Tamandua tetradactyla: one gene and its partners. The protein of the gene in region 2 purifies or fractionates together with the protein of the main gene of each other region. This does not show direct contact. Links are inferred from orthologs where the notes say so. Each region holds a gene or a part of one and is shown on either strand. Other genes may lie near its edges. The genes, in order: ITCH, CPSF6, RNPS1 and RBBP6.

Region 1 (7,950 bases), on a different chromosome or scaffold from region 2:
GAGAGGAAAAAGAAAGGAAGGGAAGAAAACAGGTAATTTATTCCTTCAGCCAAACACAAATCTCTTGGGCCAGAATGAATACAAGCAAAACTCACTTTTAAGCCAAAGTTCCTTGTAAAAATTTTGCCTAAACAGTCAAGAGGAACAGGCCAGAAATACTTTTGTTTTTGTTTTTCTCTAATACCAAAAGCTCCTTAGTAGTATACATTCATCTTGGTATATTTTAAGACTACCAACTAGGGTTACAAAACTTGGGTTCTAGGTCTAGCTGACTCTTAACTAGTTTTAGGAAAATTATTTAACCTCTTTAGTCTTCTTCTTCCTTTTTTTTTTAAGCAAAGCAAAAACTAAGAGGCTACAATAGGCAAAAAACCTATCTACTAGGTAAGTGCGTCCAATCATAACACACTTTCCCAGAACACTCATGACCAGAACTGCAACAGTCCTTCTGCAGCTACTTCCAGTGAGGGTTGACCCATAAACCAAAATATATTTGCAAATGTGGACTAGATGATCTCTGTAATCTCTCCCAACTCTAAAATTCCAACACCAAGTTTCTGTAGAATGGAAGAAAAACAATTACATTCAATGAAGCTTCGATCAATAGTGTTAATACTCATAAATTTCAGTCCAAATCCTCCTCCAAATTACACCTGACCTTTTCTAATTCTCAAAGATGCTAATGAACAACTCACTCTGATACCATTAACATACACAAGCCAACAATATTACTCTGATTTACTAATGGACTCTTGACAGAAAAGAGTCCTTTACCCAAACTGACCCTAAAAAGTCCCAATCCACAATTAAAGTAGAAATACTACTGTACCAGTGAAGAACCAAATTCAATCCCTCAATCATCCCCAAAGCCTCTCTCCAAGGTCAGGCTTTGTCACCTCTCATCTGAACTTCTCCAATAGCCCCTCTTCATTCTTTCACTCTTATCACCAGAACCTTTCTAAAACACACATATTCATATCACTTCCCTGCCTAAAAATCTGTATCTATTAAAAATTCAAATTTTTAGCATTATGCTTAGAACTTTTCATATACTTGCCTTGTTTCACCTTTCTGGCCTCTGCATTTACAGATAGGATTAATGTTTTTTTCTCTTTCCCCATTTGTCACATTCCTATTTAACACTTTAGACCCAACTTCAGGTCCAGGGACAGGTACTGCTCCTTCTCTGACCAACCCCCAGGTGTAACTGGCCACTTCCTCTTGACCTTTCTCAGAACTTTTTGGGCTATGTGTCCATGGTATTGTTTATATTAGTGATTCCCAAGACCATCAGAATTACAAAGCCATGTTTTAAAAACATGCCTTGGGGACCAACAGAGACCTACTAAATTAATTTCAGGAGGTAAGACCCTGGAATTTCTATATTTAAAAAGCAACCCTAGTTATTCTAATGGTTAAATTTAGAGACCACTGGCTTCTTCTGAAATCTTCCAAAAGGTGTAAAGATGTGTTTTGAAAAAGAATGTAGAAAAATGACTCATTCTAGAACATGCTGAAAAAGTATTCTACACTTGCTTTTTATTTCATACTATATTCTGGTTGATTTCCTTTATATAGTGAAGGTGAAACTCAAAAAGTTTGCATTCGCTATTCAAGAAGGCTGAATTTCCACCTTCATTTCTAGATCTCAAAAATGAAATAACTGTACCTTGAGAAAACGTGTGATTACACAGTGCAGGTTCTCACTACATCTGCCATGAGAACTTTATTTCAGCTGTGAAACAAGTCCCTGGCCAATTTTGAGAGTGGAAATAAATTTGCCTTTATATACTTTATTAAGATGGAATTATATTAGAGATAGATTTAGTGCAACTATAGTGCTTCACAAATTTTCAAAGAAAAATCCTACCATTCCTTCCCCAACCCCTCCCCCAAAAACTATACTGCAGCTGTAGAATAACGACAGAAAATGTAACAAGATTAAGAAACGAATATAACCAAGAGAACAAGATAAACTGTCACTGGAGAACAGTGAATTCCGGGGAGTTTGCAAGTTCACCTGGTCAGAGAGATGACTAACTTTAGGCCCAAAGTCTACATCGGTACACAGACCCTGTGTGTCTCCACGTCGCGGGCCAAACTAAGTCTGAAAACTTGAATCCCCCATTTAAATTCATGTCAACATGTTTCAAACACTTAGACATCGTTCACGGCTACTTTTTTCTTTACTCTGCTACAGAAAAGGGCACACTACGGAGGGAGAACGGTGACAGCTTCACGTCTGCAAACTTGGCGCAGAAAGGCGCGGGCCGGGGTCCCAGCGGTGGCGGGTGCGGGCGAGGGCGCCCGGGCCAGGACCACCACGCGGGGGGACAATGGAAGGAGGAGGAGAATACAGGAAGGGAGGGAAGAGAGCCGCTGTGCTGGGCCCCCTCGCGACTGGGGGCTACAAAAAGTCTTGGGCAAGCCAGCCAGGGAGTAGGTGGGTCCAGAAACCGCCCCTCACAGAGGCCACGTCGCTCACAGCCGCCCGGGTCCGCGTGTAGGCCGGGTCACCCGCGAGTGGCCCCCGGGCGGGGCAGAGGAGCGCGGTGCCGGACCCTGCCCGAACCCACTGCTGCCCAGCTCCCTCACAACTTGGCGCCCGCGAGGAGAGGGGCTCCAGGTGCCTTAGCCTCGCACTGGCCGCCCGGCCCGACCAGTCGACCGCCCCCTCCACCCCACCCCCAGCCTCGGGTCACTAACCCGAGTTCCCCGCGCCCCCCACGGGCACTGACTCTAAGGGAAGAAGGAGCAGCCGCGACTCTGGGGTCACGGCTCGCGCGCCGCACCCCTCTACCTCTCGATCTTCCCGGACACTCTCACCCGGTTCTCCCCTCTCCCTGGAACCGCCCCCGGTCCGCCCGCGGGTGTTTACCGGGACTCGGGGCGGCGGCGACTCCTCAGTCGCTCGACTAAGATGGCAGCCGGTCCCGAGCCCCAACTACAGCGACTAGAACGAGTTGGCAGCCAACGCGCAGGCGCCTCAGCTCGGGAGCTGTCCGGACTACAAGCCCCAGCAGGCCTTGCTCACTCGTCCGCCTCCGGCCCTGAAGTGCGGGCGGGGGCTAGTATGCGCCCTAAAGCCGAGTTCCGTCCCCGCAGGTGGGAGGGCTCTGGTTCCCAAACTCTATTTGTGCATCATAATCACCTGAAGGGTTTGTTAAACCATAGATTGCTGGGCTCCATCCCTAGAGTTTCTGATTCAGTAGGTCTAGAGTGGGGTCTGATAATTTGCATTTCGAGCAAGTTCTCCGGTGATGCTACCAGTAGGTAGGAGATCACACTTTGAGAATCGTTGGACTGCAACTTAGTCCTTTGCTGTGGAGTTATACTGATTGGGTTAAAATCCCCCTTTCTCCACCTCTTAACAGGATGATCTAAGGGATGATGATAGTAGCTTACAGTTAAATGGCCACAGGTATTCTAGAGTACTCATCACTAAACTCCTTTAATCCTCAATACAAACCTATGAGGGAAGAATTGTTACTGTCTCCATTTTACGGCTGCATAAACCAGGTCACAAGCGAGATAAGAATTTAGGCGATCTGACTTCGGAGCCCATCCTCTTAGCCTTCCTTCAGGGGTTGTCGTTGACACAAGCTGTGCCAGTAAGACCTGGGAAGTAGGGACTAAATGGTCAGTAATTAGTGACTTTTGCTACTATTGTTTAGCCTGTTTGCACCTAATGAAAATAATATTTAACCATCGAAAAAGCCACTTAAACATTTTTCAGAGAACTTCAAATCCACCGTGTCAGAGTTTCTCACAATAGTTTCAGCAGAGCTAGAGAAAAATATTACTTCCTGGCCGCCTAATTCAGTCACATTCTCTACGATACTGATTCTCAAAAGTTTGCTGTGCATGGGAATCACTGGAGGATTTGCTAAAATATAGAAGGCTGGGCCCCACTCTCAAAGTTTCTGATTCAGTTGGTCTGAAGTGGGACCGGAGAATCTGTATTTTTAACCAGGACCCATACTTTGAGAACCACTGCACTAAGGCAGTGTTCTCAACCTTTTTTCGTTACCATCCCCCTAAGGAGCCTTTTTAAACTTTTTTGCCTACTGGCTCCCCTGAAATTTTAATACCACAGATATACCATATATGTTTATTACTGTTTGTGGACCTGTGCTCTATACATTAAAAAGTAAGATTTTTTTTCCCCTGTCCTCTCCTTTTTCCAAACAATTTTTGTATACTCTAGGGGAAGCCACATTTCCTGACTAGTGCCCCAGATGATACTTGTCACCAAACAAGTTTGAGAAATATAGTGACTCTTTAAGATATGAGTTACTTGTATGGTCATTCTTCAGAGAAGGAAACAGAGTCCCAAGGAAATTAAATGATAATCCAAAATCACTCAGCCAGAAACTAGGGATCCAACCAAGTCCTCTAGCTCCAGATTTTGTTTTCTACAATTTTTAAAAATTTTATAAATGTTAGGCAAAACTAATATATGATAGTTTACTGGAATCCTTTAAAAGAGGAAGCATTTTGGAGAGAGCTAGCAAGCCATAGGAGAGCACAAGAACCAAGAGAGCCCAGGCAGCCAGAGACCTTTGGAGGATGAAGAAGGAAAACTGAGGGAGTTTTATCAAACAAGAAGCCTGAAGAGAAAGTTAGCAGATGTCGCCATGTTCGCCATGTGCCTTTCCATTTGACCCTGAAATTCATCAGCCTTTGTTGAGTGACGGTAACCTCTTGTTGATACCTTCATTTGGACATTTTTATAGACTTGCTTTAATTTAGACTTTTTCACAGCCTTAGGACTGTAAACTTGCAACTTACTAAATTCCCCTTTAAAAAAGCCAAAAAAAAACCCAACAAAAAACTAATATATGGCATTAGAAGTCAGAATAGTGGTTGCCCTTTGAGGGGAGGTAGCACCTGTGTAACCAGAGCTTTGCCAACACCAGAGCTGAGCTCCATTCCAGGCTCGGTGTCTTGCCCCAAGAAAGAATTCAAGGATGAGAGAAATAATTCAAGGATGAGAAAGCAAGTAACAGTAAGCATTGAAATTTACTGAAAAGTTAGTACACGCTAGAGAAATTTGTGCAGATGTGCTCAAGGAAGAGGCATGCTCCGGGTGGCATGGTTTCATAGGGAGGTTTTGCTAGCAGCAATTTTCCATTTTGACCTTTGAGTGCCAGTTGTCTTCCATGTTTCAGGAGGAGATAACTATTGGTGCTTGTGACCTCCTACTAAAAGTTCATTTTGAGCACACTGTTTAACAATCTTTATGACCTCAGACTTTCTGTTATTAACTAAGAGTCCATTTTGGACCTGTGATTTAATAAGCTTTATGGTTTTGGGGGATTTCTGAGCTTTGGAGGAAATTCTTGTTCTAGGGAGTTTGCAGTTGTGCATTAACTCCTTTGGCACTGGGTACAAAACTAGGGACCACAGCCTCAATGCCCTATTCTGTCCTGCCTCACCTGGATAGAGGCACAAAGGGGCTTCTAGTATCGATAATAATGTTCTGTGTCTGAGTGCTGGTTCTCAGGTGTGTCAGCTTTGTGAAAATTCATTTTAGAGGATACTTACAATTTGTGCATTTTTTTGCATTTATATTATATGTCAATATAAGTTTACTAAAAACAAATATATGTTTGATATTTACACTCATATTATTCTAAAAATATATCTCTTTCGACTACATGCCAAAGAACCTCAAACTTTAGGGTGCATTAGAATCACCTGAAGGGAATGTTAAAACTCAGAATGCAGGGTGTGTCACCCCAGAATTTCTGAGTCAGGAAGTCTGGGGCCAGCCCAGAGAATTCACCTTTCTAACAAGTTCTCAGGTCATACTGATACCCAGGATCACACTTTGAGAGCCATACTAGACTATGCTGTACTAACCTTGCTAACCCCAACAGGACAAATTAGTTATGACCTGGTAGGTAGTACCTAAACCAGCAAGAGTTAAAAATTTGGGCTTTGGAGTCACATGGATCAAGAATCTAGTGCTGCCTGTGTCAACAACTTGCTGTGGGCTTTTAGTTAAGTCACCTGAACCCCAGTGTCCAGATTTCTAAAATAAGAATAGATCCTACCTGCTAGGATGTTGTGAAGATTCTATGAGATCAAGGGTAAGGAGTTGGTAGCTCTCTAAGGAGGAGCTGAGTTGGTGAAGACAAGGATCCCAGCCTAAATGCCTCATCTCCCATGCAATGTATCTTTAGCTTCCAGGTTCTGAGATAAAGAAAAAAAACAGCTCAGTTTTGTCCTGGTCAGAATATAGGGCTAGTGGCTGATAAAGCCTCCAGGTAACTTTTCCCTCTTTCTGCCTTGGACACCCTGCCAGCAAAGGACAGAGCCCCGACACGCCAGCACAGGGGTAGGCTTGTAGAAGCATGCCAACATGTAGGCAAGGAGCTTTCCAGTCTTCTCAGGCAATGGGAAGGGAAAGTACCAGGGATACAGAGCCAGAAGGAGTGGGGACAGAAACCCCAGCAGCCCACATACCACCTGTCACTTAGTGGCTTTCCCTACAGAACACTTACTCATGCTGCTGTCCTTCTATTCCCTGGAGCAGCTCTGCTTTTTTTATTCTTATTTTTTTTAACTTTTCATTTTGAAATAATTTCAAACTTACAAGACAGTTACAAAAATAATACAAACTCCATACAAAGAATTCCAACATACCCTCCCCACCCAGATACCCAGATCCACCAATTTTAACATGCTGTCACATTGGCCGTATTATTCTAACTATCAATCAGTCTATCAATTCATCTATCTATCCATTTGTCTGTCTGTTGATCAATCCATTTTCTGAACACTTCAGTGTAGGTTGTATATATATCATGCTCCTTAAACACTCAATACTGTCATGTACATTTCTTAAGGACAGAGATATTCACTTAGTATTCACCCTAAGTGCAGTTATCAAGCTCAAGAAATTTAACACTGATATAAATCTCACAGTCTATATCCCTATTTTTTCATATGTCCCAACAAATATCCTTTTGGGTCTCCTCTCCTCCACTGCTACACCCCATCCAGGATCATGTGTTAACTTTAACTGTGCAAGTGCTCTCCTTCAGGCCTTATCCATTCAAAGAGTTCAGAGAATATCTCCAGACCAAGGTATAGGGGTCACCCTGATCTTTTCTATGCATGCTGATCCTGCCTGTCTTGTCTTGGGTATGCATGTGTGGCCTAAGAATGCTCTCATTTACAAAATTCCCAATGTCCCCTCTCCCCTAGGAAATAGTTTTCTCCTGGTCTCAGGCACTGAGACCTTCAGCCAGCAATCTCCTTGCCTCAGGTGTCTGCTTGACTGCTCTCCCACTCAAAGGACAATTTCTATGATGGCCAGACCCTCTGGCCAACACCAGACGATTGGAGCAGACATACATGCTCCTAGTATGTATGTGCGTGAGGGTTACTTTGCTTCCTCTCAAAGGGACCAGGGATTTGCTCTGGGGCCACTGCCAGCTGAGCCAGGGAGTGGTGGGGAAGGAGCCACCCAGAGTGCCAGGAGATGCTAACACTTCTAAGTAGACGTTTTCTTGATCTGAAACTACAACTGCAGTCCTTTAACTGTTTTCTTGAACTTTGAGGAAGATGTTTCCGCCAGTTTTGCTTGTTGTTCAAAGCTTCTGTGGAGGGACAGAGCCCTGAACTAACTCACTCTACCATCTTGATCTGAGCAGACCCCCTGAAACCCCTCTGCTTTTCATTGCCAAAGGCAAGGGAAGGATTGAAAAGTGGAGAAACTGTGTGTTGATGGTGAGCAGTCGCTGAATAGGGCTTCTAGAAGTCTGAGATCTGGACCCAGAGAGATCACTTCAGACCTGAGGTTGTGGCTCCATCATTTCCCCTCTTTGAGACTGTTTCCTCATCTGCAAAATGAAGTACATAATCTCTGTTCCTAGCCACCTCAGTCATTCCCTCCCAGATAGTGTTACCAGATTTAGCAAATAAAAATAGAGGATGCCT
Region 2 (7,814 bases):
TAAAGTCTGTAATTACTACATACTAGGCTAATACTTACTACACTAAGTATAAATGACAGTTCAAACTGAATTAAAACACTATAGAGACTGAGACAGAACAGCTTTCTTCTGTTCTCAATTTGGTGACATCCAAAAACCTTCAGTTTAAGAACTAAAGGGCCTCCACAAAGAATAAGATAGCCAATTCCCTTGTGCCTTCTCACCTCCTCTAGCTTTCTTTTCCATTCTTAAATTCACCAGGTGAAGAAAGGAACTCTACTGCAGTTTCACTTTCTTGTTTTCACTCCATCCCCAAACAAGTTAGTTTCTTCTAAGACAAAAGAATGCCTCACACACAACTTCAGATAGACCAATACTGTGCTTTACCAAAATAATTTTTAAAAGCTTCATAAACTACCACCATTTAAAGAAGTAAAAAACAGAAAATACACAAACCACGAAGCATTTCAAGTTACATACGCAGTTTAAAAGTCAAAAATTTAAGTCGACTGACTTAACATAGTAAAATAATGTACTCAATTACTTCTTATTCAAAATCTTATAGTTTAGTATAGCAACCAGTAGAAATAAGATCATCTAATAGAGGGCAAAACTAAATTAGTCAGCAATAACTTCACAGTTGTCTCTTAAAAAAAAATTTTTCAATGATACTAGCATTTTTTAAAAACAGGATGAACCTTGAAAATGACCAATTATCCTTTTGCAGCCATTTTTAAAATAGGGAATTACCACAGCAAGCAGATTAGAGGCCAATGATATGCAAAATAACAAAAACAAAGCCTGTATTTAATAAAACTGTAATGCCTCCCGCCATTAATCCATTCAAAGACATTAACAATTTTAGGGGGCAAAATCACACAACTATTTATGAGATATAATGACCCAGATATAAGTCAAGTGACATTCTAAAAGAACCTTACAAAATAGTTCATCGAATTCACAAAATTTTAATCTCTTACCTCCTGCTCACTCAAGCCTTAATGCACAGAGATAACAAAAAAATATCACTCCAACCACCTATGTGGATATAGGAGATGTCCCTCCAAAATTAAGTATGTAGAAGTCTAAAAACATTTCATAAAGAGGTAATCAAGAAAGCTTAATCTCTAAAGTTCGCCCTAATTCTTCCTTTATTGTGGGTAGAAACGCAAACCAATATATTCTTTTGTAGGAAAAAGTAAGGAAGACAATCTTGAACATTTAATTGTCCCTTTATTCACAGGTGTGGCTTCTTTTGGTCAGAGCGCTCTACTCATCTGATAAATACATAAAAGAAATTTCCTAGAAGCCTTTATCTATGGAAATTAAAAGCATTAGAACCCGATGCTGTGTAGCACTCAAGGAAACTTTCTAAGTTCTCATCGACACAATTCAAGTATCATACAAGCAAAATATAAGTGAATTTAAAACACAAGAATTTTTAAACTCAACATTTAATGACAATGGGTTACAGTTAAACATTTGCAGTTCTGAAGGGAGTAGGAAATATTTAAAAGCTAATTAAGATTTTTTTTTCCTCTTCTAATATTTGAGCCACACATTCTTGAAAAAAGGAATGTAAGATTTCTGGAGTTTTCGTATTTTAAAATATCTTGACCTCCTACCGCAAATAAAATCCTTAATGAAGGGAAAAAAAACCCAAACATTAACCAAAATTTTATTAAGCTTCTCGTTCGAACCTGGAAAATATAAAAAACAGTGCTATTAGGTGTCACATAAAATGCAGCAAAGTTGTGAACATAGGCTTTAGGGCTTAAACGTCATTAACTTGGTTAAACAAGATCTTCTACAAGGATGCTTATCATCAGACACCAAGTTCTAGGCAACTGTGACCTGATACCAGAACAAATCTTGCTTTCTCACTTTCTCTAACCTCTCAAAATATAAAGTGGATCCCTCCGAGTAATTTAACATCTTGCTTTCAAATACAGCATATCTAAAATTCTTTATTTTCAAATTTAAGAATTTCGGGTGAATGTCCGTTCTTTATTCTTAAACACGCCTCTACACCTGATCTCTAAGTGAAAATACCATGGATCTTTTTGTTGCATCCTACCATCGCGCTTCCAAGAACTGCTTTTCGCCCAGGCCACCTATCTTCACAGGAATTTGTATCACAAAGATCAAGAGAGACTGGGCCGCAAAGGCACTGCAAAGCCCTCGATTAACGAGGCCAGCCAGCGTACCGACTTTTAAATACAATTCGTGGGTTCTAAAGTCAAAACACTTGTTGCAAAGATGCTCACATTTAACACGCCTTCTCCCGGTCAGGGAAGGAGGAGGAAGGCGCCACGCCGAAACCTGTCGCAAACGCAAGCAAGAGCGCCCGGGAAGCGGGGCGCGCGGGATACAAAGGGCCGTGAACGCGGCCTTCCATGAGGCGACAGTGCGTGGACAAGGAAACAAAATGGAGCGACAGGAGGAATCGGAGCCCGGACGGCAGCGCCGGGAAAGAGACGGCAGCCGGCGCGAGCCCCTCCGAGGCTTCCTTCTCGGGCCCCGAGGGGGAGGGGATGCGGCGGCGGCCCTTTCTGCCCGCCGCGCACACGCGGCCCCGCCGCCCGGGCCTAGCGCGGAGAGAAGCGCCTGCCGGCCGCCGCCTACAATAAGGAGCAAAGCGGCGGCGAGGGAGGGGTCGGTGGCGGCTGCACCGACGGAGGCCTGCGTCCGTGCCCCGCAGCTACGCGGCCCGCGAATCGACGCGGTAGAACGAGGGGCGAGGGGGGCACCGGAGCCGGAGGAGGGGCCCACAGGCGGCAAGGGCGCACGGTCTGCAGCCGCGCGGCCTCGCGGCCCGCCTCCGGCCCCGGGTCAGCGTCCGGGCCGCAGTGCCGCCCACTTCGGCGGTACCGGCCGGGGCCCTCACGTACCTGGTTGAACTCTTCGCCCACATCCGCATAAATGTCTATATGGTCCACACCGTCCGCCATCTTCCTTTGGGCTCTGCCGCCGCCGCCTCCTGCAGGTCTGCCCGCCTCGGCAGCAGCAGCGGATCTAGCGGCGGGGGCGGGGCGCCCTAACGTCACTTCCGAGGCCGAGAGGCGGAGGCGGGGGCGCCCGGGGGTGGCGGTCGCCTCTGCAGCCTAGCGGCTCCGCTGGCTGAAAAGATGCTATTTGCCGCTGAGGGCAAAAGCGGTTTCTTTTGTGTGTCTGGCTTAGGCCCGCGGGGGAGGGGGAACAAGTCCCTTTTCTTACTCGCGCACCTAGCTTTCCTGTGCATCCCAGTTGTTTCCAGAGGCCGTGTTTTTACATTGCCTCTGGCACACTCAAACGTAGTGGGGTTTTTTTGTTGTTTTAAAATATGTATTTTTGTTTCTTAATTTTCCTTCTATTTCTCACAGCCAGGACGTCTAGAGAGGTAGAAGTTGTCCACGATTAGGTACAGTGTAACCCCTCGGTCATTCTTTAAGCGCCTTGAGAGCAGGAATAATGTCGTTTTCCTTTACCTTCAAAGAACGGCAGAGTTCCATTTCCATCGTAAATGCTAGAAGCCCGTTTGTGGTTGTGTTTAGTCATTTGCATGCTATTCTCTTTGTGTCCCTCTCAATCTCTCATCACTTATCTTCTTTCATTCTCATTTTTTCTTATTTGATCTGCTGTTGGCTTTCACTGGTAGTTCAGATACCTGTAGCTTGAATGCAATTATCGTAGGACAAACATCCAGTAAGGTGGAGAAATCTTAAGGTAAAGAGATTATCTCTTAGAAACATCGAATGTCCAAACGGGAAAGGAACTGAATGGTGTGTGATCAGGTCCAAACATCTCATTTGGCAGGAGCTGGAGACCTAATAGAACCTAAGCAATCTAACCGTGTTGCCACGGATACTTCATTTAAAGGTATTTCTCCAGTTTGAAAACTTCCCCCTACTTTTAACCCATTTTTAAAACCTCCAAATTAGAATGTTTCCTAAGATAAGGACTAGCCAGAAATCTTAAAGTACTAAGCCAAGCCAACATCTGCCCATGGGTTTTGGTTGAGTACAAAATTCTGCTCAGACATTCTATGAACTTGATGACCTTGGTCAAGTTACTGAATCTCTCTCATCTTCTGTCTCATAATCTTTAAAATTGGGGTAATAAAATCTACCTCAGATGGCTGATGGTACCTTAAGGGAGATAAAAGGCAAAAAGTGCCTACCATTGAGAAATACTGATTTCCTTTCTGACTTTGAGTAGTCTTTATAGAAGAAAAAATCACCCAACATAAAGGGTAAGAGCAATTTTTAGAATGGTAGGAAGAATGATGACGACCCAATATGTCCATGCCCTAATACCCAGAACTTGTGAGTATGTTACATTATGTGACAAAAGGAACTTTGCGGGTGTGGTTAATGATTTTGAGATCAACCTCCCCATTTGGAGAATTTTATATTCTTGCAAACAGTGGGGACAACCAAATCAATAGGCTGATCTAGGGGTCACCCCTATAAAACTTATTCCTGCAAAAGGATAGGTTAAGCCTACTTAAAATCAGGCCTAAAAGTCACACCCAGAGAACCTCTTTTGTTGCTCAGATGCAGCCACCCTTTGTAAGCCAACTCGGCAGGTGAACTCAGTGTCCTCCCTCCTATGTGGGACATGACTCCCAGGGGTATAAATTTTCCTGGCAAGGTGGGACAGAACTCCTGGGGTGAGCCAAAACCTGGCATCAAGCAATTGAGAAAGCCTTCTTGACCAAAAGGGGGAAGAGCTAAATGAGGCAATGTTTCAATGGCTGAGAGATTTCAAACAGAGCTGAGAGGTTATCCTGGGGGTTATTCTTATATGTTGATACTTTAACTGGGACATTTTCATGGCCTTAGAACTATAAATTTGTAAGCTAATAATGCCCCATTGTTAAAAGCCAGCCCATCTGGTCTATTGCATTCCACAGCTTTAGTAAACCAAAATAACAAGGAATGGACTCTTCCCTAGATTCTCCAGAAGGAACACAGACCTGCCAAAATCTTGGTCAAGGCCAGACTTTGGACTTCTGGCATCTAGAACTGTAAGATAATAAATTTTCATTGTTTTAAGCCAATAAAGTGGTTATTTGTTACCACGCTAGCAAACTAATACAGGTGGGCTGGAAGAAAGTTCCTCTACAACATTCAACTCCCAAGGATACCTTTGGCTTTCAATTCTAGGTAGACCTGAGTCATAGAATTTCAGAAGTAGGGGAACTTTTAAAATTATCCACCCAGCCCTTTATGACGGTATTGAGGTAAAGGACTTGTTTATAGTCAATTGGCTAATCAGTAGTAAAGCCTACTTTTCTTTACGTTAAGTAGTAAAGTCCTAAGACTCATCAATGCTCTTTGAAGGAGCATTGATTTTTTTTCATCTAAGTACAATGATGACTACAAGAAATTTAATAAAGAGACTAGCATGTTGTAGAAGGTGCTCAATAAGTGGTAGATTAGGTTATTATTAAGAATTTTTTCTTTTAATCTATGGTAATGTTTTAGTTTTTGAACATTGTTGAGTGAGGAAGTACACTATAACATAATTTTTAAATCATCAGAAAGTTAATGAGAGTGAGTGTGGAATTTCCTGGCCAAGAAGTAGAAGAGAATAGGGTCTATACATTCAAACTTCTTTTGCCCTGGTAAGAGAAGGGGAGAATTTGCAGATGCATAAAGATGAATGAGAGGCTGAGCTATGCTTTTGACAGCTGGGAGACAGAATTAGTGATACAGAAGATAGATCAGGAAAAAAAAAAAGGTATCCAAAATGAAGCATGAGGAAACCAAGGATGGAAAATATGAGAGGAGAAATAGTGGCTAGAGAGAGGAGATCTAACATGCATTTAATTGGAGTTGTAGAAGAAGAGAAGAGAGGGTTAGAAGCAATATTTGAAGAGATAATAACTGAGAATTTTCCAAATATCATGAAAAATATCAGACAATATTAGACAAGAAGTCCAGTGAATCCCAAGCACCATAAACTTAAAAATATACACCTAAACACATCATAGAGAAAAAATAGAAAACTCAAATCCAAGAGAAAAATCGTAAAAGCAGCCAGAGAAAAGGGACTGATTCTCTTCAAAGAAGCAGTAGATTGCTTGTAGCAGTGGAATGACTTTTAAATGAATTGAAAGAATATAAACTGCCACCTAGAATTCTATACTCAGGAAGAATATCCTTCAGGAATGAGAGCAAAGTTTCATCCCCCTGTCCCATATTATCAACAGCTCCTTCCAACATGAAAAAGTTAGAATGGGCATGGCCCAAATGCCCGTAAAGAGTGGGAAAAAGATCAAAGGTGATGGTGGAGTTATACAGAGAAGGTTGGGTTCAACAAGTGAGTCTGAGTGCTGAATCATTATACTGATATTTCTATTGGCCTCCAGTACCTTGGAGCAGCTAGAAATAAAAACCAAAAAGGGTGGAGTTGTAACCCATACCAAACTCTGAAATCTGTTCTAAAATTAATTGTTGTGATATACTTTGAAATTTATTGCTTTTATGTTTATATGTTATTTAAAGAAGAGGAGGAGCATAACAGAGAAGATAGGATTTAACAAATGAGTATAACTGCTGAATCATTATATTGATGTTTCTGTTGGTCTCCAGTATCTTGGAGAAGCTAGAAGAAAAAAAAAAATTATGGAACTATAACCCGTACCAAATTTTAAAATCTGTTCTACAACTACTTGTTAAAATGTACTTGGAAATTTATTGCTTTTTTGTATATATGTTATCTTTCACAGTAAAAAAATGTTAAAAAAAAATGAATGAAAGCAAAATAAGATATGCAGAAACTATGAGAATTTTACCACTGGTACACAAGGAAATTTAAAAGATATTTTTTGGATAGAAAGAATTTGATCCCAGATCGAAAATTTGAGATACAGAAAGCAATAAAGAGCAGTGAAAATGTTAAGTATGTTGGTAACTCTGAATAAAGATTGTGTAAAACAGTAATAATACAGACATGTGGGGTTTAAGTACATAAACGTAAAATCACAATTAAATAAGGGAAACCAAGAAGTTATAAGGGAGGTAGATAATGTTTTTTCTGTACATCCGTTTCTTCCCTGAACAGAAGAGCTTTCTCTCTTTTTCCATACACATGGCTATGCAACAATCAACTCCAGGGTTCAGATAATTACTGCTCAAGAAAAATGGTTAATTGTCTTAGTTTCAGTTACAAAACTCTAAAGAGAAAGCAGCTGATTAGATTTTTTTTTTTTTGCTAGAAATCTACTCTCAGTCCAACCAAGTCTGTCTGAGGGGGCGGGTTACACTGTAAAAACATGACTGACAAATTTCATCCTGTAAGTTAGGAAAGGGTGGAGAATTCTCAGAGAAAAAATGTTGCATTGAGCTAGGCAAACACCCCAAAGGATATCTAATACATTTTACCTGTTAGATTGGCAATGCATAAACAAAGGCTATAAATATTTAATACTAGCAATCATTCTGACTTATTCCAAATCAGTCACTTAATATCATCATCTCTGTAGGAACATGACTAGGCTTCCAATGCACTTGAGACCGTAATTTAGCCCTGTGCTCTCCAAACCTTTAAAAATACTCACCTCATCAGTATAACATTTAAAAACAGGTAGCCACAGTACATGTATGTGTATATATATATATACACACACACACACACACACACAATTTAATGTCACTATATGAATTCATTTTATATTAACATACACCATAAATATGCATATAAATATAAAGTTTTAAAGGATGAAATAAACAAAATTTTTAAATGTTTTGCTAATCATCTTGGCCTCATACTATAATTAGTAGTTATATCACTGAATTTCAAATAGTCTTCTTAAAATTTTTGAAATTTGGGGACCTACTCTTGTAAAA
Region 3 (7,542 bases), on a different chromosome or scaffold from region 2:
GAACAACACCACAACCCACAGGACGGAGCCACAAGGGCCAGAGAACTCAGGGAACCTCAGAGCAAAATGCTCTGTGGCTTAGGACATTTTCACTGTCAAATGCAAAACATTTCCAACCTTCCCCTTTCTGAGAGTTCCTAGCAGTAGCACCCCCGAAGTAGCACTAGAAAAATCTGACAGAAGGATTACCTAGTGCTGGACTTTTTATTATTTTCTTTGACTCCTAGCAAGCTCTTCTTTTTCACTCCTGATAAATCCATTCTCCCCTTCTGAAGTGTTCAGAGCAGCAATGGCGGCCTCACTGATCTGAACTCTCACTTCTAACTCGATTCTGAGAAACGATCCCTAATCGATTGCAATTTACGCCAAAGAGCAGCCTAATAACAAGATAAAAGGATTTAAAGAGTGAACGGATTGGCAAGGCAACAAATCTACTTTGCAGTAAAAAGCTGAGCACATGAGAAATCGGCACGTGAACACAGTAAGCAAAGAGTGTCCACGCAGCCAGAAACCTGGGGTGGGCAGTCACCATTTCCTTACAGAGGATTCTCACCCTACAGGAGGCACAGGTTGAACCGTCACCTCAGCTTCTGTTTTTCTTGAGCAAATGGGGGTGGGAGGGAGGTGAAACCTGTCATTGTCATGTTACAGGCTGTATATAAGTTTCTTGGGCCATAAGTTTGATGAGCCCTCTAAAGCCCCTTAAAAAAAATACAGCACCCCATTCACACGCAACACAGAGAAAAGCCTAACTCAAGTGTGGTTTTCCTTATAAAACTGGGTGTCTTGTTTTATTGCTGTAATTTCTTTTTAGGATATACTGGACATATAACTACAAGCAAAAATATATTTCAAAAGTGACTAGTACTAGCATCAAAACACTTAATACCCAAACACAAATAGATAAAATGTCCCATATGAACATTAAAAATGCAGGAAAATGATACTTTAAAAAGTAGTTACTGGAAATACTGAACTTTAAGGTAATGTGTACTTCAGTGTAGGGAGAAAGTACAATTTTCTTTGAAATGAAATATAAGATTAATAGATGGCTAGAAACACGATAAAGCAAAGAAAGCAGAAATATTACTTCTAGACTCTAATGCTGGTTATGTGGAAGAGAGCAGACTATCACCCTTACGCTCCTTCCCAGGGCTGTAAAACCTTAAAATAAAGTGCTACAGATACCAGCAGGAAGCACCTGATAAGGTGAGTGTCCTTGGGCAATCAGGGAGTAGAATTCAGTGGATAGGAGTATAGAGTATAGGGGTCAGTTGGCCTGGGTTTAATTCAAGACTTTTGCTATGTAACCTTGGACAAGTCACTGAACCTTTCTGATTCTTATTTTCTCATCTGGAAACAAGTACATTCATGGAATTAATCCACCAAAGAGACCTGGCACCCAGTTAAGGCTCAATAAATGGTAGCTGATGTTTTATGAGAGGGTTGTTTCTCAACTTTTGGAGGCTCTTTTCCCACATGCACACTTGTTTCCAAAGTGACACACGGTTCCTGAATGCTCTACAGGTGTCCTTGGCCTGCCCAGGTGAGGATCACCTAGAACAATGCTGTCCACAGAAGGAGAATAAAGAGCCACAAGCATACCATAAAATTCTCCAGTAGCCACATTATAAAAAGTAAAACTCAGGTGAAATTTTTAATAAAGTGAATATAGTATATCCAAGATGTCAATATAAGATTAATAAAACATTTCACATTCTTTCTTCATACCAAATCTTTGAAACTTAGTGTACATTTTTCAACTGAACTGGGACCAGTTATACTTCAAGTACTCCACAATTACATGTGGCTAGTTGCTACTGCAGAGACCCCGCTTACAGGTTACACATTCAGATTCCTGGGTCCCACCCCAATCCTAAAGATCTCGAGGACATAACCCTGAATGCACTTTGCAAAACAAACACCAGCGGTTATTTTTAAGCACTGTAAAAACTAAGAATCGCAGAATAAATGAGCGCTTTGCTGGGTACTGCCGGGTACTAGAAAGCAAAGAGTGAGGTTGTCCACGCAAATGCGGGTAACAGGACAGGACCGCAGTCACCTCCCCCATCCTCCGGAATGGTGGGCGTCCAACAGCCAGAGAAAGAAGAGAACAATTAGTTACATCCCGAGCGGATGGCGTTTGGGCTCGACTCTTAAGAGCACCTTTATCACTTAAATGTACATTTTAGGCACAATTCATGCGAAAAAACTAAAGCAGGAAAGCATCTTCCAGGTCTCCTCCAGCGACCTTAACCTTCCAGCACCCTCCCCTCTGGGGGAACCCGTGACACGGAGCCCCTCCGACAGCAGGGACTGTGCCCGCCTCGGTCACCGTGCTCGGACTACACCGGGCTGGATTCCCAAGGCCTGGTACCGAGACGGGCACCAGAGACCCGGTAACATTGACGGGCAAATGTGTGAGTTGCTGACCAGGAACCGAGTATCAGCCGGTCTTCCGGGCCGCCCACAAAGCAACCCGCCCGCCGACCTTGCCGCCTCCCGTCCGCGTTCACTCACAACTCCCCCGTCCAGGCTCTGGGCCGCGAGCGCTTCCAGGCCGTTGCGGGTCCGGGTCTTGGCCCGGCGGGAGGACGCGAGGGCGGAGACCGCTCTGCCGGCCCCTCGGAGCCCCGTGGGCCTAGCTGGGCCCGCCGCCGAGCGCACCGGGCGAGGGGCGCCCTTCCGTCCGCGCCGGGCCCGACCACTTCCGGGCCGCGGCCTCGGCGCCTCCCCCTCCGCCCGCCCCGGCCCGCACTTTCTCCCAAGAACCCAAGCCGCCGGGCCGCCGTTCCCGCCTCGGGCCTGTGGAGGGGCCGGCTCCACGATGCGCCCCGCCGCGCCTAGCGGGCGGCCCTGCAAGCTCGGATGGGGTCGGATTCCGCCCCGAACTTACATCTTCCCGCCGCCGACAGCGCCTCCCGCTCTCCTCAGCCGCCGAGGCTGGCGCCTGTCTGTCGTCAGGGTTCGGGAGCGGGAGCGCGCCGTCCGTCGTCGCACAGCGATGACGTAAACCGCGGCAGCCAATGGCCGTGAGCGAGGAGAGTCTAAAGGGCCAAGGGCGTTTCTGGTTCACCGCGTCAAGGACCCGCCCTGGTTTCCCTCCCTGGGGGCGTCTCCCGGCGCTGGGGTGGGTCGGGCGATGGGCCGGCAGCCAGGGGGTTAACACGGGCGCGCGGCCCCGCTCCTCTCGTGCGCGCGCGCTGGGCTCGGGGGCTTGCTGGGGCGTAGCCTGGGCTCGCGCGGTCGGAGTCCCGCGTGGGTGCGGGAGGCGAGGCGTGGGAACGCGGGCGCGCAGTGCGGGCCGCTGCCGAGCCTCTGGGGGCTGGGAGGGCGCGGGCCTCGCCGGGTTCCTTCCCCGCCTCGTCACCCCCGTGGCCGGCAAGTAGTCGACGCTTCGCAGTTATTTGTGGAAGGAGAGAAGGTGCTCGGCCTGGGTGACCTGTTGGAACTCGGTGGTGCAGCGGGGAAGAGGAGGGGAGCACATTCCTGCCGGTGGTTTGAAGGAAGGGCCTCAAGTGAAGGACAGGAAAGAGTTCAGGATGGATGGATGGGTGGGTGGGTGGAAAGGTGTGGTCCCTCCCTTCCCCAGTCCCTCTGGCCTGAGGAGTTGGGGGGCAAAACACAGCCGGCAAGGAGGGGTCCTGCCCACACTTTCCAGGGTTGGGGGTGGGGGCGCCCCCCTGGATTTAGATTCGATGTGGCGACATTTAGGAGGAGTTAAATCCTGTGCCTTGTGATCACGTCCCCTGGCGTGGCCAAGCATCAAGGGGTAAGTGGGAACGAGGGGTGCCCCAGTGGGTGGTGCCTTCAGCCCTTCCCGCTGCCGTGAGGGGGAGCCAGAGGTGGGCGTTGGGGGATGGGGTGGACTAGGTGGTCCAGTCAGGCAGAAGTGACAGCACGTGGGAACCCGTAATCCGCAAGGGCTCCCCAAATCCCGAGCCAACCATCATGTGTCCAGGGCAGCACTGACCCTTCAGGGGCAGCTAGGAGACCCCACCGTGGTGAGAGGGCGGTGGGGGGTGGAAAGCCAGCCCCCTTCCTCCCTCCTGCTTTTGGTTAATGCGCTAAAGTAATTTAATTTGGCATGCCTGAAAAATTTAACACATTTTATATTAAACTTAACATGATTTATTCAGACACTTCAGAATTTAATTAAATTTGTTTCTAAATATTACTGGTTTTTGTTATAAAATGTACAGTCAGCTGTTGAGCTTTAAAAATTGAGCATCCTGATCTTGCCATTTTGAGACACAGTAGAAATGTGTTCATAAGAAACATGGATGTACATTTCTCCCGTCCCTCGGGAGTCCTGCCTTTCCCCACTCCTGTGACCCAGTGCCATCCTGCCAAGGCTGTGGGCGCTGAGGGTGGCAAGGCCAGGTCATGGGGACCCCCCATGGGGTGGTTTGATGGGGGTAGGGCAGGCTTCTGTGGACAGGGCACTGAGCAGCTGGCCGGGCCCTGAAGTTCTGCACGTGGCCTGGGGCAGCATCCTGGGAGAGGCCGCCGAGGTCACTGACACCCGGGGGACTGGGGAGCGCCCTCCCCCATTTCCTCACTACCGGTGCTCCCTCTGCACAGTTAGGTGCTTTAGACTTCCCGGGAGGCTTGGGGAGTGCTGATGTGGGGAGCATGCTTACAGCAAGGTGGAATGTTCTTCCTGCCCTCACCCTCCCTGGTCCAGATGGCCTCTGCAGGGCCCACCCTCGGAGGCTGGCAGCTGGGACACAGCGAGAGCTGGGGTGGCAGTTCTGGTGGTGGAGGCGGGCACCGAATCCCCTTGAAAACGATGTCTGGGAAGCACCTGTGCCCATCACTAAAGCCAGCTATGGGTGCTAAAGACAGGCATGGCCCAGCCCAGGGTACAGCACAGGGGCTTGCTTGGGTGGGAGCGGAGGCTGCAAGGAGCTGTGTGACTTTGGGGAGAATTTAATGCTGTCTGAAGGGGCCTGGATGGGGTTGGGGCAAGCCTGGTCGTAGCGGGCCTGGGTTCTGGCCCCTCCAGCAGACACTTCCTGACTTCCTCGAGTCCTTTGCCTGACACCGTGCGGGCTGAGAGGAATTAGGCGGTGTGCGGGAGGGGCGGCTTAAAGGGGATGGGGATGCTGAGTGCAGCTGAGAGGAGGGGGAACCGGGGTGGATGGAGGAGGTGCTGCAGAAGGACACTGTCCGTGGTGGGGTGGGGGGAGGAGGGGCAGCGGGTTGAGGGAGACGGGCCTCAGAGGGGCTGGGGGGCCAGAGCTGTGGGCTGGGAAGCTGTGCAGGTTTTCAGGCTCAAAGCCACGTGTCCCAAACGGACATTTGCACACCAATGTTTATAGCAGCATTATTTACAATTGCAAGGAGATGGAAACAGCCAAAATGTCCATCAACAGACGAGTGGCTAAACAAACTGTCGTATATACATACGATGGAATATTATGCAGCTCTAAGACAGAATAAACTTATGAAGTATGTAACAACATGGATGGACCTAGAGAACATTATGCTGAGTAAGACTAGCCAAAAACTAAAGGACAAATACTGTATGGTCCCACTGATGTGAACCGACATTAGAGAATAAACTTGGAATATGTCATTGGTATCAGAGACCATCAGGAGATAGAAATAGGGTAAGATAGTGGGTAATTGGAGCTGAAGGGATATGGACTGTGCAACAGGACTGGATACAAAAACTCAGAAATGGACAGCACAATACTACCTAACTAATGTAATTATGTTAAAACACTGAATGAGGCTGCATGTGAGAATGATAGGGGGAAGAGGGCTGGGGACATAAATGAAATCAGAAAGAAAGATAGATGTTAAAGATCAAGATGGTATAATCTAGGAATGCCTAGAGTGTATAATAATAGTGAAATGTACAATGTACAAATTTTAAAAATGTTTTGCATGAGGAAGAACAAAGGATTGTCATTATTGCTGGGTGCTGAAAATAGATGATAACTAATACTTCAAAATGTCACATTATGTGTAAGACTAAAGCAAAAAATGTTTGTTACAAAATTTAGATTTCGACTAGAGCATTTCCTAATATAACTCATGTAGATAGTTTGAATGTCATAAGTACTAGTAATCTCAGGTAGCACTTGAGATTTTGTTGGTTTGTCCAGAGTGATCCCCCGATGAATCCCAGAGTGATTTGATCAGTGACTGGAAAAGTATTTGCAAGCCCCCTTCGGGGAATGGTGAGAGTGGGGAGAAATTCAACTTCCCTAAGTTGAATTCTTGATATTCTCACAGGCAGTGTGGACAACCAAAGCTATAGGCTGAGCCCCCAGTCTTGGGGTTTGTTCACATGAAACTTAACCCCACAAAAGGTAGGTCAAGTCTACTTAAAATTTAGGCCTAAGAGTCACCCCCAAGAGAGCCTCTTTTGTTGCTCAGATGTGGCCTCTCTCTCCAGCCAATATGAGCAGTCCCACCACCCTCCCCCTCTCTGCATGGGACATAACTCCCAGGGGTGTGGACCTTCCTGGCAACATGGGACAAAGATCCTGGAATGAGCTGAGACTCAGCATCAAAGGACTGAGAAAAACCCTAGAATGAGCTGAGAATTAACATCAAGAGACTGAGAGAACCTTCTTGACCAAAAGGGGGAAGAGTAAAATGAGATAAAGTGTCAATGGCTGAGAGATTCCAAACAGAGTTGAGAGGTTATCCTGGAGGTTATTCTTACGCATTAAGTAGATATCACCTTGTTGTTCAAGATGTAGTGGAGAAGCTGGAGGGAATTGCCTGAAAATGTAGTGCTGTGTTCCAGTAGCCATGTTTCTTGATGATGACTGAACAATGATATAGCTTTCACAATGAGACTCTGTGAATGTGAAAACCTTACGTCTGATGCTCCTTTTAGCTACTATATCAACAGAAGAGTAGAACATATGGAATAAAAATAAATAATAGGGGGAACAAATGTTAAAATAAATTCAGTTTGAAATAGTGGTAAATGAAAGCGAGGGGTAAGGGGTATGGTAAGTATAGTTTTTTTTTTTTCTCTATTATCATTTTCTTTTTCCGTTGTCTTTTTCTTTTTCTAAATTGATGCAAATGTACTAAGAAATGATGAATATGCAACTATGTGAAGATATTAAGAATTACTGATTATATATGTAGAATGGAATGATTTCTAAATGTTTTATTTTTTTTAATTAATAAAAAAAAAATCCTAAAAAAAAAAAAGCAACGTGTCCTTTCTTGTCATTAGAATGTCGAGGCCAGTGACACCGAGCTGCCCACCCTGGGGTGGGCTGCCAGGGGAGAGGGGGCTGCAGCAGGGGATGAACTGCAGAGCCAGGGAGCAGCAGGGGCCATAGCTGGCCTGGCCTCCCCTGAGCCCCCTGCAGCCAGGCCACATGGAGCTTCTCTGACCAGGGAGGCATCTGTGGGGTGTGGGCTGGGCCCCAGGAACAGAGCCTGGGCAGCCCCGTCTGCTGAGAAAGGAAGGCAGGGCCCAACCCCACAGCTCCAGCCTCCTACTCCTGCCGGCCAGAGGTAGTGGCAGGTATGGATGGGGACTCCCCGACTGCCCCGCTCCTT
Region 4 (7,394 bases), on a different chromosome or scaffold from region 2:
TTTGAAGACGTAGAATGAAGTTGGAAGACTTACATTTCCTGATCTAAAACTTATTACAAAGCCACAGTGTTCTAGTTTGCTAGCTGCTGGAATGCAATATACCAGAAATAGAATGGCTTTTAAAAGGGGTAATTTAATAAGTTGCTAGTTTACAGTTCTAAGGCCAAGAAAATGTCCCAATTAAAACAAGTCTACAGAAATGTCCAATCAAAGGCATCCAGGGAAAGATACCTTGGTTCAAGAAGGCCAATGAAGTTCGGGGTTTCTCTCTCAAGTGAGAAGGCACACCGTGAACACAATCAGGGCTTCTCTCTCAGCTGGAAGGGCACGTGGTGAACACCGCGTCATCTGTTAGCTTTCTCTCCTGATTTCCGGTTTCATGACGCTCCCTGGGAGGCGTTTTCCTTCTTCATCTCCAGAGGTTGCTGACTTGTGGACTCTTTGCTTCATGCTGCTGCAGCATTCTCTGCTCTCTCTGAATCTCTCATGCTCCAAAAATATTTCCTCTTTTATAGGACTCCAGTAAACCAATCAAGACCCACCCAAATGGGTGGAGACACATCTCCCCTAATCCAGTTTAACAACCACTTTTGATTAGGTTATATCTCCAGGGAGATGATCTAATTACATACAGTATTGAATAGGGATTATTCTGCTTCTATGAAATGGGGTTTTGATTAAAACATGGCTTTTCTAGGGTACACACATCCTTTCAAACCAGCACACACAGTAAGCAAAACATTGTGGAACTAGCACGAGGACAGACATACAGACCAATGGAACAGAATTGACAACTCAGGAATCAATCCTCACATTTATGGCCATCTAATTTTTGACATGGCAGCAAAGACCACTCTATTGGGAAAGAATAGTTTCTTCAACAGATGGTGTTGGGAAAACTGGATCTCTATTTGCAAAAAAAAAAGAAGAAGAAGGACCCCCCCTACCGCATACCCTATACAAAATTAACTCAAAATGGAACAAAGACCTTATTATAAGACATAAACTCTCAAATTTTTAGGATAAATAATAGGCAAGCACCTTCAGGACCTTGTTTTAAGCAATAGTTTCTTGGACTTGATACCCAAAGCATAAGTAACAAAAGAAATAGATATGTGGGGTCTCATGAAAATTAAAAACTTTTGATCCTCAAAGGATTTTATCATGAAAGTAAAATGACAACCTACAAAATGGGAGAAAATACCTGGAATCCCATCTCTGATAAAGGATTACTATACAGTACGTATAATGAAATCCTCCAACTTAACAACAAAAGGTAAACAATCCAATTTAAAAATGGACAAAAGACTTGAACAGACATCTCTCCAAAGTAGATGTTTCAAGGGTTAGAAAGCACATGAAAAGATACCCAACATCATTAGCTTTCAGGAAGATCCAAATCAAAAGCACAATGAGATGCCATTTCACACCCATTAGAATTACTGCTATTAACAAAATGAGAAATAACAAGTGTTGGAGAGGATGCAAAGAAATCTGGACACTCATTCATTGCTGGTGGGAATGTAAAATGGCGCAGCCACTGTGGAAGACATTTTGGTGATTCCACAGCAAACTAAGTACAGAATTACCACATGACCCGACACTTCCACTTCTAGGTATATACCCCAAAACGTTGAAAGCAGGGATTTGAATAAATATTTGCACACTGGGTCATAGCAGCATTATTCAAATTCAAATTTCCAAAGGATGGAAGTGACTGAAATGTCCATCGGCCACCGAATGGATAAATAAAATGTGGTATATACCTACAATGGAATATCATTCAGCCAAAGAAGGACTAAGCAACAACATGGAAGAACCTTGAAGACATCATGTTGAGTTAAGTAAGCCAGACACAAAGGGACAAGTATTGTATGATCTCACTGATTTAAAATAATTTGAATAAGCAAACTCACATATTCTATATTCATATAGAGTCAAAATCTAGAGTATAGATTATCATGGGATGGGATGGGGATAGAGAATAGGAAGTTAAGGCTTAAAAAGAGCAGGATTTCTGTCTGGAATGATGGAAATGTTAATCATCGTGACGGTAGCACAACCTGTTAATGCAATTAACAGCACTGAAATATACATCTGAATGTGATTTAAAGGGGAAATTTTAGATTGTATAAATGGAATCAGAATAATATTAAAAAGAAAAAACTCCGGGCGGGCCACGGTGGCTCAGCAGGTAAGAATGCTTGACTGCCATGCCTGAGGACCCAGGTTCGATTCCCGGTGCCTGCCCATGAAAAAAAAAAAAGAAAGAAAAAACTCCTTGGAACTACACTGTGAACTCTAATTAAACCATGGACGATAGTTAATAGTAGGATTATAAAAATATGGTACCAATTGTAACAAATGTTCCACTCAATGCAAGATGTTGATAATAGGGTGATATATAGGAAAGCGATTTTTTTTTTTTTTAAACATGGTCAGGTACTGGGAATTGAACCCGGGTCTCCGGCCAGAACTCTGCCTGCTGAGCCATCATGGCCCACCCAGTAATAGGGTGATATATGGTAATCCGGTATTTTGTGCATGAGTGTTCTGTAAAACCCACAACCTCTCTAATAAAGAAAAAAATTAGGTAAAAGGGGATTAGTCAAAGACTAATACAGATTCACCACTTCGGAGGTGTGAATATCAATATAATTTATTCTTGTGTTTTTTCTTTCTTTAGATGTTATTAATCCTCTTACACTCTCATCGAGATTTTTCAAGGAAACCAATCATTCTGAACTGTGGGTGAAAAAATTTTTGTGAGTTACCAAAGAAAATGAGTGGAAACTTGCTGTATATGAAAAACACTGATGTGTATGGTTCAGCTAAATCATATTTGCATCTCTGGGGCTACGCTTGTAAAAATCTTACCCTTGTTGTAAAAATCTTATTGCCATGGTATTTCTATAGATCACATAAAAATGTATTTAGTTATTTAACAAATCTTTATTGGGCGTCTGCTATATCCAAGCACTGTTCTTGGAGCTGGGGACACAGCATAATCAAAAGAGAAATTCTTGCTCTCAACTGGGACCGGGAAACAATTAAAAAATAAATGTATACTATGTTAGTTAGTGATGAATGTTAAGCAGGGAAGAAAATACGGGTAAAGAGCTGGCGAATGCTGGCAGGGTTACCTAGATGAAAAACGTGGCCAGGAAGGCTTTACTGACAAGATGATGATTGGTTTAAATCGAGTTCAGTAAGAATTTAGTGTGTATTCAGGAAGTCTCTGGCAACTCTGCCACTTCCTGACTGTGTGATCTTGTACAGCAGTGACTAACTTTTCTGAGCCCGACTGGCCTGTAAAATTCAGAGAGGATAGAGGAAATGCGTTGTAAACGATAGTTATTATTGTGGATTATGAATATAGTTTATATTATGAATTTTATGAATGCAGTATGACCGCCCCATGCCCCAAGAAAAGAGATTCCAACTCATTGGGGTGGTGGTGGATGTTCTTTTGGAATAGTTCCTGCCCTTTGTAATTCGAAATGGGATTGAGACCCTGTCACACAGCTGGCATTGCTTTCTGCGAATTCAGAAAGTGCATCATTGCTAGCTTTAGTTTCCTCATCAATAAACTGGAAATAATGGTAGTCCTGACCACTTAGGGTTTTTGTTATTGTTGCAAAATTGACATTCATTGAGTCATTTTTGACGCGTATTGAACCACATGCCAGGCTTGGTTCCAAACAATGTAAATCTATTCATTCGTTTAAACCATAACAATCCAAGAAACCAAGTACTATTTTTATCAGCATTTTATGGTTAGGGAAACTGAGACACAGAGGGGTTAAATCTAGAGTCGGAGCTCTATGGTTCCAACTCAGAGAATTTGACTCCAGAACCTGGGAATATTATAAAGTGCTTATCCCAGTGCCTAGCTCATACTTAGAGCTCAATAAATCTTCGTTCTTCTGGATGTTATCAGTTCTAGGCTGCGGCTGGGATCAGAATTTCTATTTCGGAAGGGCTTGGGGTAGCCAGTTTGTTGGAAGTGGGAGGTAGGGAGTGTTTACATAGCAACCATAGCTTACTGCATAGTAACCATATGTTTACTTAAATTGGGGAGTTTGGGAGAGTTGATCGGAACTGTGGGGAAGGGACAGTTAGCCGGCCACCCCTTGGCACCCCACTGTTCAGTGGACATTAGCACAGCAGAAGCTGAAATCTGAACTCTCCCCCTAGAACCACCCTATGACCCGGTCCTTTTTCCCTCTAAAGCCTCTCCCCTCCCTTTAGAGGCGGATGGTTTCTTCCGTTCCTCGGTCTAGTTCAGGTTCCGCGCTCCTGAGTCACAAAGCGCCGGAGTCACGTGGGAGGGCCGGTGCGCTTTGTGACGTCGACGGCTCCGCCTCTCGGCCCGCCTATCCGCTCACGCCAGCCCCACCTCGCGCGCGCCGCCCGTGCAATCCTTGCCTAAGAGACCCCGGAGTCGGGCGCTCGCCCGAAGCCAGGCCGCGTCCGCCATAGTGCCTGGCTTGGAGGTGTCGCCGACGCTTGGTGAGGGCCGGAGAGCGGCAGGGGGGCAAAAAAAAAAAAAGAAAAAAAGGGAGCCAGCAAAGCCCCTTGCCGTTGCCCGGCGGTTTCCGGCCATATTCTGGCGGTTCTGGGCCTAAAGGCGACGGAAGCGAAAGGCGAGAGAAGCTCGGAGCACACGGCGAGAGGAAGCGTCAGGGAGACTCGGCGGCGTCCCCGGGGTCCGCCAGAGCCACCCGGCTACTGGGCTGGGGCCGGGGGTGGTGAGGAAGTGCTTCCAGGCCCAGTTGAGGCCTAGTACCGGCTTTGTGTCTAAGGCGGCGGCGGCGGCGGCGGCGCACGGCGGCGGGGGGGAGGTGGAGCCGGGGGCGGCCTGCAGAAAGGCCTCTCCTCCGCCGACCGCGCTTTTTTTGGCCTAGACCGCGGGGCCGCCTGTGGTCTGCCGGCAGCAGGAGAAAGGGGTTTGTGTGGGGGCTGGGGGCCTGGGCCTGGGGAAGTCGACGCCAGTCGTCCGGAAGCCAGGAGGAGGCGAAAGGCCGCTCGTGGACTCCGGGCCTAGGCCCTCTCCCCTCAACCTTCTCCCGGGGCCTGGGTCACCCCATTCCACGGAAAGAGACCAACCGGGAGGTGCGGCCACGCCATGGACCCCTGACCCCGCGGGGGTCACTCGGACTTTAACGTGTGGACTGACCGCTACTGACTGCACCGCCTACCCCCGTCTCCTGCCGGCCCTTAGCATGAGCGAGGGGGACCCAGCCGGGTGACATTGTGCCCGTTGGCGGATTCTCGATTTCCCCTTTTCCAGGTCCTCGTCTCCCTCCTCCCACATGAAGTGATTCTGAGTAACAGGGGGGGGTTCTGGATTATTGTTTTACGAACCCCTGCTTGTGGTTGGGGGTTATTTAATCCAAGACCTTAGGGTCCTTCCGTGTCTTTTGAGTGTTTTGTGTGTGTACATTTTTGCTCTTAAGTTTATAAATATACATATAGTGAGAGTGTCCACGTCTCCTCGCTGAACCTTAGGAATCCTTTGGCACCATGTCCTGTGTGCATTATAAATTTTCCTCTAAACTCAACTATGATACCGTCACCTTTGATGGGCTCCACATCTCCCTCTGCGATTTAAAGAAGCAGATTATGGGGAGAGAGAAGCTGAAAGCTGCCGACTGCGACCTGCAGATCACCAACGCGCAAACGAAAGAAGGTAAGAGCCACATGGGCTCCAGGTATTTGCTGGTTGAAGATAAATAGTAGTAGTAAGGTGTCTGGCAGAAGACTAACCGCCATTATGTCTCTGTTCGTTCTAATACTTTCCATGCAACTTTAATTGATAGCCAAGGGTTACAGCATCCCTACTTGGAGATTAACTGGTTTATTTAATTTGATTTCTGTGTAATTAGGTCATTTGTAACAGGCTCATCCAAAAACGTGAAAGTTTGATTATTTACTCTTTTTTTTTAATGAGAATGGGTGGAGGGGCGGGTATCCAGAGTTTGGTTCTTGCCTTGTGCTGTAACTTTTTTTTCCATCGAAAGAAGGTTGAAAGAGAGCATATGCAAGGCTTGTTATTTGTTAAAGCAGCAATAAAGATACTTCTCTAATTTTGCTTTTGGGGAATAATGGCAAATTGATGTCCTCCCTTTATCCCGCCCCTTACCCTTATTTTGGAGTTATTTTTGCGAATTTAATCCACCCACTCTTTAATGTTGTAATTGATTTTGGAACTTGATAGGTTCTTATGTGACAGGTTTTGTATTGTGTATAAATTACGGAATTAGTAATGCAGTAATTAGATAGTTGAACTCTTAGTTCATCATACTACTCTTAAAATTTAGCAGTTGATTAAAGATCAAAAGAACTGGTTTTTCTTTTTTAAAGTAGTAATTGCTGTACTTTACATGACTATGTTAGGAGAATATTGACAGATAGTAGGTTGCTACCATATGAGTACAAACAAACCACTGGCTGGAATCTTTAAGTTCTTTCTCCTTTTTGAAACTATTTTATGATACTGGAAATTGAATAATAGATGAAACAGTGTGCTGATGGCCTTTTCAGACTCTTGACTGTGAACTTGTTTTGGTTTCTTTTTCTCAGTACAGTAGTTTACAGTAGGTCAATGTTGAGTTTTATTGATGGAATGAGAATGAATGAAGTGAAGTTCTAACTAGGTTAGATTTATTGATCACTAAACTTGGTGTAAGATGTGACATTTGTTCATTTAGTTGATATGGGAGGACCCCCATCTTTAGCATGTAATGTGGTGTTGGGTAGAGTACATCTTTTCACGTAGAAGAGCAGCTTTCCGTTTCCAGACATAATTTAAAGAACAGCAATACCGGCATCATGACTCAGAACTGTTCATTAGGAAGAACTTTATTTACTTAAATGATTACATGTGAAAGAATAAACCCTCCTTGCCTCCACCATCAACTGCCGTTTTGTTTTTTTTTAAACAGATGTTATATCTAAAGAGCACTTCATATGAAGCTTTGGTCATTGTAATTATGTGTAGCATCCTTCTACTTAAGAAAAGGAGAGATTGTGGTCATGAACATTGAGAGAGCTTTTTTTAACATGTTACTTGAGAAAATACCTAAAGAGAAATATTCTTATTAAGCCCAGCAAATCATCCCTTAAGTATTGTAGTTACATTTCATTTAGGCCATATTGATATATTAATGAGCACTTATGAATGAGAGAAAGAAAACATTAATAATATTAATACAAGAGGATATAAAGGCAGTTTTAATGATTATGTACTATGCAGGTTTCATATTTTATTGGAGCATTACACAACTGAATCATTAAATGCTAGGCTTTGTCCTTTTCCATCTAACAGTTGAATACAACTTGAATAGACTGTGTGGAATAAGTTTTGTTTGAAGGAATTCTTGTCCATCAGC

Evidence for each region.
Region 1: the proteins of CPSF6 (region 2) and ITCH purify together in Homo sapiens (affinity purification with mass spectrometry; 5 studies listed by BioGRID and IntAct, with this or other methods). This does not show direct contact. The link is inferred for Tamandua tetradactyla from reciprocal best matches to the Homo sapiens genes CPSF6 and ITCH.
Region 3: the proteins of CPSF6 (region 2) and RNPS1 purify together in Homo sapiens (co-immunoprecipitation; 3 studies listed by BioGRID and IntAct, with this or other methods). This does not show direct contact. The link is inferred for Tamandua tetradactyla from reciprocal best matches to the Homo sapiens genes CPSF6 and RNPS1.
Region 4: the proteins of CPSF6 (region 2) and RBBP6 purify together in Homo sapiens (affinity purification with mass spectrometry; 3 studies listed by BioGRID and IntAct, with this or other methods). This does not show direct contact. The link is inferred for Tamandua tetradactyla from reciprocal best matches to the Homo sapiens genes CPSF6 and RBBP6.

What each region holds. Positions count from the first base shown.
Region 1 is NC_135327.1:18,487,562-18,495,511, forward strand, and holds the start of ITCH (E3 ubiquitin-protein ligase Itchy homolog), read right to left. Parts: upstream 3,001-7,950; 5' UTR 2,879-3,000; exon of another isoform or gene 2,827-2,878; intron 1-2,826. UniProt on the Homo sapiens protein: Acts as an Acts as an E3 ubiquitin-protein ligase which accepts ubiquitin from an E2 ubiquitin-conjugating enzyme in the form of a thioester and then directly transfers the ubiquitin to targeted substrates.
Region 2 is NC_135333.1:137,452,988-137,460,801, reverse strand, and holds the start of CPSF6 (cleavage and polyadenylation specificity factor subunit 6), read right to left. Parts: upstream 3,006-7,814; 5' UTR 2,931-3,005; coding exon 2,871-2,930; intron 1-2,870. UniProt on the Homo sapiens protein: Component of the cleavage factor Im (CFIm) complex that functions as an activator of the pre-mRNA 3'-end cleavage and polyadenylation processing required for the maturation of pre-mRNA into functional mRNAs.
Region 3 is NC_135349.1:55,261,139-55,268,680, reverse strand, and holds the start of RNPS1 (RNA-binding protein with serine-rich domain 1), read right to left. Parts: upstream 3,007-7,542; 5' UTR 2,899-3,006; coding exon of another isoform or gene 2,897-2,898; intron 378-2,896; 5' UTR 261-377; coding exon 190-260; intron 1-189. UniProt on the Homo sapiens protein: Part of pre- and post-splicing multiprotein mRNP complexes. Auxiliary component of the splicing-dependent multiprotein exon junction complex (EJC) deposited at splice junction on mRNAs.
Region 4 is NC_135349.1:32,520,314-32,527,707, reverse strand, and holds the start of RBBP6 (E3 ubiquitin-protein ligase RBBP6), read left to right. Parts: upstream 1-4,394; 5' UTR 4,395-5,526; coding exon 5,527-5,692; intron 5,693-7,394. UniProt on the Homo sapiens protein: E3 ubiquitin-protein ligase which promotes ubiquitination of YBX1, leading to its degradation by the proteasome.